Arabidopsis thaliana: one gene and its partner. The protein of the gene in region 2 purifies or fractionates together with the protein of the main gene of each other region. This does not show direct contact. Each region holds a gene or a part of one and is shown on either strand. Other genes may lie near its edges.

Region 1 (4,309 bases), on a different chromosome or scaffold from region 2:
ACTAACGACGTCAAGACTTAGCACTATTCTTTCTAGAGTTTTCTGTCCTAATTCTTACTTCTTTCTTTTTTTGTTCTTTAGAGATTCTTTGATTTTTCGTTTTCAAATAGAGATTATTGTAAATGTTACATGTATTACAGAAATTTACAGTAGAAGTTTAGGAAAAATGAGGATTTTATTTGGTAATGTAAGTCGAAATGATCAAGACTTAGACTATCATCTTGTATCGTTTCATCAATATTTCTTTGATAAACGTTAATCAGCTTTTTAATTTCTATGATTATGTATCAATTTTATTTAGACTAAGAAAGTCTTTTAAGTTAAACGCATAAAAGAGTCAAGGATACCATTTGAATTGACATTGTATTAGTGTTTGGGTAACTTCCAAGAAAGAGATAAAATTAAAAGATAAGAATGGGGCCAAGGCGTAAAGAATCAAAAGTTAGGCGAAATATGTATAAATTGAATTGAACGCGTTTTTTATGAGACTTGACTATGATCCATTTTCCACAACGCAGACACAAAGATAATGCATTTTTATTACACAAGTGTGTATGCATTATTTCACAAATTTCATTAATCCCAAATTTCTTCGTTATAATATTCCTGTCATATATGTGTCGAGTAGTGAAAAACGAGAAAATTAGTTATTGTTTTATTGAAATGAGGTAATTATTATACCAATAAGATTCCGTTTTGTTTTCTTCGTAGAATAAACAATAGCGCTTTCTGACAATAATAGCAAATTTTTATTCTTGAAAACTTTCATTGTAAAACAACGTACCACACAGCTGAGTTGAGCAAATCTTAAAAACCAAAGAGACACTGTAAGTTTGTTTCAGACAACCTTAAAACAAAAGCTGAGCTGGAACTGGTTCATCTCCTTATGTCATCGTGTAAACGATTCAGTTGTTTTCCTTCTCATAAACCTCGCTTGCATATTTCCAGTTGATCACTTTCCATACATTCTTCAGATACTCAGGCCTCACATTTTTGTACTGAATGAGAGAATACAGATTGATTAGAGAGCTTAATCTTTTAAGCTAACTCATGAGACTTAAGGTATCAAAAGTGTTGTTACCTGCAAGTAGTAGGCGTGCTCCCAAACATCTATACCCACCAGAGGTACCAAGCTTCCTCCTTTTGTCACTAATGGATCCTGCACCAACCGAAACAAACTCTTTTTCTTTAAAACCCATTATTCTCACAGATGTTCATGAGTACCAAGAAATCTTTTGAACATATTCAATAGCGCATTCCTGATCATGGATAAGTTACCTGATTGGCAGTTGTGTCAACAACTAGCTTCTTCAGTTCTTTGTCTAGTCCGAGCCACTGAATTAATCAACAGAAACAAGCGAATCAAGGACCATGGTTATTATACGTAAAGCACCAGAGTCGACAATGTGAGCAGATGAAATAAAAAGGTGAAACTAGACTACAGACCACCCATCCTGAGCCTTGCACTGCAGCACCCTCAGCACTCATCTTTTTCACCAGACCTTCAAGGGAGCCAAAGTGAGCGTCAATGGCACTACCAAGAGATCCTTTTGGTGGCTCTCCACCACCTTCCTGTTATACATTAAAACAAACCATCAATTACAGAACAACAAAATCGAAGAAATACACAGAAACTCAAAACACAAGCTCACACTGGAAGGAGCAAGGTTCTTCCAGAAAATCGAATGGTTGACATGACCTGCACGTTAGAAATAAAGTCGATCAATTCCCATTCTCTAGCACACAAAAAACTCAATTTATTTCCAATAGTTTCTCTGCCAATTTCTCTTCTATCAATCCAACCGGTCCGGAGCTCAAGAAGCAACAATCCTAATACCAAACTATAGTCATCAAAATTAATCAACAGCTTCAATGTTCCTAACAAAAGTTCTATACTAAATCAACTGGTTATGATCTCAAGACCCAGCAAACAAAAGTAGCTATCTAAGAAAGCTTGCATTACCGATAAAAGTTTCATTGATTCTTACAGAAGTTTCATCCCAATTCATCAAAATTACTCATCAGCTTCACTGTTCAAACCAAATTTCTCTCCTAAATCAACTACTTCATTTGCTAATATCATCCAAACACGATCTAAACACAAACCAATCGATCAAACACATAGAAATCGAGATCGTAAAAAAAAAAAAAAAAGAGAGTCAGACACACAAACACACCTCCGCCGTTGAATTTGATGGCGCTCTGCAACTTAACAACAGTGGAAGCATCTCCCTTGTTCACAGCTTGATCAAGCTGCTCAAGAGCATTATTGTAATTAGTAACATAAGCCTGGTGATGCTTCTGGTGATGAATCTGCATGATCTCTCCACTAATGGCCGGTTCCAATGCGCCATAATCGTAAGGAAGATCAGGAAGCGTAAAAGTCTGAATCCCTCTGATCCTCAATAGCCTCGATGATGTCTCCTTCAAGCCGGCTAGGGTTTTTCTACTCGCTACACAACGAATCGCCATTGTTGGAATGAAGATTTGTTTCTCCTTCTAGTGGTCGCCAAAAATGAACATGTGTATAAGTGGAGGGTTATGATAATATCACTGCCTGTCATGTATAGAGAAAAGTGACTGTTTTGACACGTAGACATGTGATTTTTATTTATGGGCCGTAATATTGGATTAGTGAGCCCAAGGCCTTAATATAATAAAGCGTAATTTTTAATATTTTGTGACGGCTAAATGTTACTTTTTTGTTTGTTCACAGGAAAAAAATAAAGAAATGAAGAAAGTTGACTAGAAACGGAGAATTTCCAAATGTTGAATTTGTTGGATGCATGTGAAAGCCAATTCTATTTGGTTCCTCCTTGATAATCCACCCAATCGCTGTCATTCTCCCATCAATCTAGCTGCTTTCACAAACCATTGTACTGAGATCGTATCTTTAAGGTAAATTTCAAATCGGAGTCGGCGAGATCGAAATAGGAACCTGGAAGTCGGAGAATTTGTGTAAATTCGGTTTTTTTTTTTTAATTCTCCGATGGATAGTTTAAGTGATATCGATGGTGATTTCGATGGAAGAAATGAAGGAGGATCGTCATCGGATTATCGATTGTTGGGTCGGCAGATTACGGTTCATCAGTTCATGGGTGGTGGCAAAGGCGAGTTCTTTTTTCCAGAATTTGTGTTTTTTCATCATTTTGGTAGTTTGTGATGAGAATTTTCTCGGATTTACAGAACAGAAAATTCAAATTGGGGATGATAGTTGGAATAGTTAGGGTTTCTGATTTTGGTTGGTTGTGAAAATCGTCATGTGTGTAAGTACATTTAGCATTTTGGGTATAGTAGAAAATGGAAAACTTGGCAGGTGAAAGTTAGGTTTAGGTTTGATTTTGAATGAGAAATTGATTGATTCAAATCTCTGGATACGCATGATGAGTTCATAGGTCCAGCAAAAAGCTACTGTTTGTGATTTTTGTATGGCTTTGTTCTTTGATGTAGCTGCTGACTTGCTCTTATGGAGGAGGCGACATCTTTCTTTGGGGGTTATCATTATATCAACTGTAGCCTGGCTTATATTCGAGTTTTCCGGGTTGCCTTTCTTATCTGTTTCTTCGGATGTCTTACTCATCGTGATCATGATATCATTCGTTCATGCCCGGGTTTCTGCTTTTAGGAATAGGTGCGCTCTACTTTTCACTAGTCTTCTTTTTCTTAATTCTTTGCTGTTATGTGACTGATTAGTGATGATTTCTACCTGTTATCTCTTTATAAGCAGACAGTTGCATTCGTTGCCAGAGCTTGTTCTATCAGAGGAAATGGTGAATAGTGCTGCAGCTTCTTTCCGTATAAAACTCAATCACTTGCTTGTAATGGCTCATGATGTCACAGTTGGCAACGATTTTCGACTCTTCTTCAAGGTTATGAAGCTAACCCATTCAGAAACTCACGATGATGTTGAGTGAAATGACATGGGAACCGTTAAGCATCTGAACTGTTGGTCTGACGATTTTTCTTTAGCAGGTGGTGATTTGTCTGTGGCTTCTCTCTGCCATTGGTAGCTATATATCTCTCTGCACTCTTCTTTACATCGGTTAGTAACTTGATCCTTAAATGCAAATGAAAGGAAAAAGCTTCTATGTTTTTTGATCCTTCAGTTTCATCCCCCACGTTGGCTTGTTGATCTCGTTTTAGTTCCTGCGACATTGTTGTTTTAAACTCAGTGAACCAAATTCTTATATGAAGTTTATACTTTTTATGGTGTGAACAGGGACCATCCTATCTGTAACAATACCGGCTTTGTACAGTAAATATCAAAGCAAAGTAGACAAGTGTTGCGGGACGATTCACAGGCGGTTGT
Region 2 (5,504 bases):
ACATGTCGGAATATATGTCTGAGACTGGTTCTGTGAGATCTATGCCTCAATTCGACAATAGAGATGATTTTTGAAAGGAGAGACGACATATATAGAGACTTTGCTGCTAGCTCCAAATGGCTAATTTTCATTGAACACAACACACCAATTGTTAGATTTTCTTGTTCATTCTTGTACTATTATTAACTATGCAAGGAGAATTTAGACAAATATTTTTCGGTGCTATCATCCAAATCACTTGAACATAGATCATCATTGACGTCGATCATAAATATAAAAGAGCATTCTTACAGAACAAATCAACAGCATCTTTCACTTTACTAGAAACCCTATATATGAATAAAAACTTCTTGGACAAGAGCTGAGTAGTGTTAGTGTGATTTTCCTCTTCATCATAGCCCTCAGCAATAGAGCTGCATCACTACAACAATGGAGCTGCAATCCTGGTCAAAAGTTTTTGTAAATAATCTTCTTTCCTTTTGGTAATATAATTAACATTCTATCAAAAAATAAGTTTATCGTTTTGACCGTTAAATTGGAAACAGAGGACAGCTCTGTTTTGTGAAAGCCTTTTGTAGAGAGAGGGATTAATTTTGTTGTTTCAGTGACAGCTATAGTGTGGCTTCCCACAAAAACGATTTTTATTCATGATAGGAACAGTACGTATGAGATAAACTTGAAACCCTAGTATCAACCATATGAGTTGGTTAAATACAAAAAGATATTGAGAATTCTGATTTGAATCTCTTTGGATGGATCACACAAAAAAAGGAGACCAGTTCATTATTGATCTGTTTGAGGAAATGATATCCGCAAGAAAGTGTAAATTGGGCGTCAACCACAAAACAATTAACAAACCGGCTTTTGGTATATATAGAGAGATTAGTGAGCTAAAGCTTTAACCGCTTTCTCAGCTGCATCATCCAAATCATCAGCTGTTATGAGTTTCATTCCACTTTCCTTGAGGATTCTCTTTCCCTGCTCAACATTCGTTCCTTCTAGACGAACCACCACTGGCACTTTCAATGCGACCTGTCCTCGCCATTCCACACAAACACTCGGATTTATTTTCAATCATGAATATATGAAATATTATGGTAACAAGGTTGTTTCTCACTCACCTCTTTTGCAGCGTTCACGATTCCACTAGCAATCACATCACATTTCATTATCCCACCAAATATGTTCACCAAGATTGCTTTCACTTTATCGTCCGATGTCAGTATCTTAAACGCTTCCACCACCTTATTTTTTGACACAAACCTCTATTAAAATTGGTTTTCATTCCAATGATTCCCAAAAGTGAAGAAAGAAAGAAGGTTCCTTTTACCTGGTGCTCAGAAGCATTTCCACCAACGTCAAGGAAATTGGCGGGTGTTCCACCGTGTAATTTAATGATGTCCATGGTTGCCATGGCCAATCCAGCACCATTCACCATGCAACCAATCTCTCCATCTAAACCGATGTAGTTCAGGTCAACTTTAGCAGCAGCCACCTATGAGACACAACACACTATTCCTTTTAACATCCTATCGAATTAACATAACAATGGCTTTCTTGATGATACAAGAGATAGACAGAGACCTCTCGTGGATCCTCCTGTGTTGGATCACGCATGGCGAAAACCTCTTTTTGTCGGAACGCAGCATTATCATCGAAGTTCAATTTGGCATCAGCAGCTACCAATTGATTAGTTGATGTCTCCGCAAGGGGATTGATCTACAAGAGAAATTTGGAGGTTCAACAAAAGATATTTATAACTGAAGAAGTGTGTAGAAAAAAGACAGTGAGAGAGAACTCACTTCCAACATTGTGCAGTCAGTCTTGCGGAAGAGTTCGTATAGCTTCTTCACTTGTTCAATCGAATCTTTTCTGTCAGCAGCTTTGGGAGCCAGACCATCCACAACCTTAGCAGCATCTTCATCAGTGATTCCTGCAAATACATCAATTGGTACCTACGCAAAACCATGACTTGAGGTGTCAAAAACCCGCATGAGAAAGAATCTCAGAATGATATTTACTGGAGATCAGACCACCAAATACGAATCAAACAGTAACAACCTTGATGATCATGTCAGGGAACTTCTCAGCAAGATCTTCAATACTGGTACCACCCTTTTTACAGGCAATGATCAACTGATATAGGAAAGGAAAGCGTTTTAGATATTACAGCAGGGTATGAAAACAGCATGCCTAGAAGTAGGGAAATGAATAGCAGCAGCTCATCATTTGCGTAGTAGCATACCGGTCCAGCAGATTTACGGTCCAGAATAATGGAAAAGTACATCTCATTGACGAGTGACAATTTCTCACACAAGTAAACCTGCTCAAAATGAAGACACAATGAATAAACAAAGGTGCAAGAGCAGTGACAATAATAGAAGAAAAAACACCAATCATGAATAACAGATAACAAACCTTGCTAACTACTTTGCCTTGAGGACCAGTTTGCTTGGTGACAAGTACTTGTCCTAGCATCTTTCCTACAAGTAATAAAGATTTGAAATAGATCAATAACTTGTACAACAACAACAAAAAACAGACTCCAGAAAGCCACAAACAAGAAATCCTGTACAATACCAGCAATCTCTTCAGCCTCATCACGTTTAACAATGTGAACACCACCCTTAAGACCACTCTTGAATGTTCCAAGACCTCTTCCACCAGCCAAAATCTGGCTCTTAACAACCAACTGTATCACACGAAAATGACACTCTTTCAATTAGACAACAACTAATAATAGAGATTAGAATCGAATCCCTCACTGAATTTACCTCGCTTTCATTAGGGAAAACATCTTGAATAGCCTTTTTAACTTCTTCCAACGAAGAAGCAGCTACTCCTTTCGGCACATTAACTCCATATTTCCCCATCAATTCAGCTCCCTGGTTGTATCAGAATCACAATACAAACTTTACATTATCCTAAACCCAGAGAATTCTATCAACCACAAATCAATCAGTGGATCAACACAGAAACAACAGACAAAGACACAGATCGTACTCGAATTCTGACTTGACAAAAGCGAATCTAGGCAACTATCAAATGGAAATGAAGAGAAGAAGAACCTGATACTCGTGGATGTTGAGACGACGAAGCTGTTGGTTCTGCCATTTCCCGGAGATGGAGAGAGATCTGGACACGAGCTTGTTCACCAATCCCCTCATCGTTGGATTTGTTAGTAGTCGAAAAGTAGCCCAAGAGAAAATGAGAAAATGTAGAAAGAGCAGAGAATAGTCGCAGCTATGAATGATCGAGTCTAACCCTAATTTTTTCCTACTTTATGAATTTTCAATTTAACCCTCTCTATTCTTCTATGTCGCCGGCTCATTTAATTCCAAAATATTTTTGGTAACTCTTGTTAGAAAAAATCTAAGATTTTATTTTCAAAAAGTCTATATATGAAAATACCAAAGTACCATTTTAATTCACTAACAATATAACAATAAAAAAACTAAGCAATACAATTTTTCAATAAAAATGCTAACCCACTAGAGATTGACATCAGATATATCGCCGGATAATTTTTTCCTTTATAAATCTATAATTTTATTGTATATAACATCGACTGATTGTGTATTATTTGTAGTATTATTTTACTTGTATATGACTAAATATTTATATGAATAAATTTTATCCGACTTATCGACAAGACAAATTTTTAGTTACTGTATTTTAGATAATAATTTTCAGTTTATTTGGTTTTTTAATTTCCAGTTATTTAATTTTGAGTCTAATTAAAATAAAAAAATGATCATTTATTGTTTTCTCAATACATTTGATATTATTTACTTTCTGAAAAAATGAGGATACTTACAAAAGTTTCAATTATTTATTATGTACTTATGATATTACTGTTATCATCACCAAAATGAGCTAAGCCAAAAGCTTTAGTATTACTGTAAGGAATCTTCCACCGGTACGGTTGAGTAAGTTGAGTAAACCGGGATTACTCAAAAAGAAAAAAATTGTTGTCATTGGAACATAAGCCCCGTTCAGTTAGTCCGATGAGGACCAAGTGAATAACTGTCGTGAATCGAACGGCCATGATGTCATCGACGGAGAGACAACAGAAGCTCCACACACGCGTCTCAGCTTATAGAATCTCTCCACCGCATGATTCTCTCGTTACCGAGGCCGCATCTCTGCGAAAAGTGGCCCGGGGACTTTCCTGGGTCGGAACTTAGACAAGCCCATGTGACCCATTCACTTTGTCCAATGACTATTGTTACTTGTTTTCGTTTTCGACTAAATATATACACAACTGATATTTTGAAACTACCGATGTGGGACAAACCCCCCAAAAATATAAACATTCTTCTAAATCTGACCAAAATATAGTAATTTAGTAAAATTCGACTAAACAGTCTACTCAAAACTCATTGCTCTGTGTATTTATTAGTCCACATGATTATTCTCTCATATAAGTTAAATTGAATGTGTATACAATAAACCTATAAACTAACTCTAAAACGAACTTCTCAAACTTTGAAATGAACATGTTTTAGAAAGAATGCAAAATATGGTACAACCTTGACGCATTAGATCAAGAAGGTGGCTTCAAGTTCCTAATTGCAGCGGCCATGATCTGAAATAATTCCACATGTGAAATAAAATCAGACAACAACAAAGTCAACAATTATTGTTGTAATTATCGCTTAATGTAAGATAATAAACGTACCCGGGCAGATCCAGGATCAAACCTTCTTTCACCAATTCTTGTATTCCTGTCCTCACTCTTTGTGACTGCACTTCTTTGACTAGATTCAACTTTGCTGCTGCTGTTGCTGCTTTCACTACATACTTCTTCACCCATCTGTGTGCCTCTGTTCTTGCTTCTTGTTCTATAAGTACGGTCAGACGTTCCACCAGAACCAAGAACCGGGTTATCTAGGGATTCTGCTGCTTCATCTTCAATAACTTTGCTCTTGCTTCTTGTTGTGTAATCAAATATATTATTTGTTTGGAGACTTTGTCCCTTCTTAGAAAATTGTGTCGCCGCTGCTTTTGCACCGGCGATTGCAGCTGTGAGGCTGGTAACTTGCTTGATTGCAGCTGTGAGGCTGGTAACTTGCTTTGAATCAAGTTCTTTCTTCTCTTGCATTGTACAAGGAATAGAACCAGGTTTTAAGGAAAACGGGTCTTTTGGGTCAGGAAGAGGGAATTTCACCTTAAAAGAGTTTTGAGAAGGCATAAGACCTCTAGCTGCTGCTACATAAATCTGTTTCATTTAGAAATACAGTAAGTAACTGGTACTAATTTATACTACAACAAGAACCCACCAATCCCTAGGCTTTGAAGAACAGCAAGATTACCTTATTCTCTAAGTTATAGACGCCCTGGTACCCACGCATCTCAAATGGAATAATCAGTTTCTGGAAGAGTTCACAGAATCAAATGTCAAATAAGTCAATCTAAACAAAACAGTAACAGCCAAAAGATGAAGTGACTTTCACCTGTGGCTTCTCACATAGCCAACAAAAGTTAGTTTGTCCTTCAAGCCT

Evidence for each region.
Region 1: the proteins of AT2G20420 (region 2) and MSD1 fractionate together in Arabidopsis thaliana (co-fractionation; one large-scale study listed by BioGRID). This does not show direct contact.

The regions. Positions count from the first base shown.
Region 1 is NC_003074.8:3,416,178-3,420,486, reverse strand, and holds MSD1 (manganese superoxide dismutase 1), read right to left. Parts: upstream 2,548-4,309; 5' UTR 2,473-2,547; coding exon 2,178-2,472; intron 1,700-2,177; coding exon 1,653-1,699; intron 1,573-1,652; coding exon 1,447-1,572; intron 1,336-1,446; coding exon 1,279-1,335; intron 1,160-1,278; coding exon 1,082-1,159; intron 999-1,081; coding exon 906-998; 3' UTR 595-905; downstream 1-594. Other genes in the region: AT3G10930 (uncharacterized protein), read left to right, coding at 1-259; AT3G10915 (Reticulon family protein), read left to right, coding at 2,783-2,898, 3,031-3,110, 3,451-3,631, 3,728-3,869, 3,973-4,042, 4,220-4,309. UniProt on the Arabidopsis thaliana protein: Destroys superoxide anion radicals which are normally produced within the cells and which are toxic to biological systems.
Region 2 is NC_003071.7:8,803,237-8,808,740, reverse strand, and holds AT2G20420 (ATP citrate lyase (ACL) family protein), read right to left. Parts: upstream 3,400-5,504; 5' UTR 3,168-3,399; coding exon 3,069-3,167; intron 2,886-3,068; coding exon 2,775-2,885; intron 2,693-2,774; coding exon 2,581-2,692; intron 2,484-2,580; coding exon 2,419-2,483; intron 2,324-2,418; coding exon 2,246-2,323; intron 2,137-2,245; coding exon 2,062-2,136; intron 1,956-2,061; coding exon 1,803-1,955; intron 1,720-1,802; coding exon 1,585-1,719; intron 1,496-1,584; coding exon 1,331-1,495; intron 1,245-1,330; coding exon 1,122-1,244; intron 1,033-1,121; coding exon 883-1,032; 3' UTR 570-882; downstream 1-569. Other genes in the region: RIC6 (ROP-interactive CRIB motif-containing protein 6), read left to right, coding at 1-74; AT2G20410 (RNA-binding ASCH domain protein), read right to left, coding at 4,547-4,588, 4,682-5,221, 5,316-5,375, 5,457-5,504. UniProt on the Arabidopsis thaliana protein: Succinyl-CoA synthetase functions in the citric acid cycle (TCA), coupling the hydrolysis of succinyl-CoA to the synthesis of ATP and thus represents the only step of substrate-level phosphorylation in the TCA.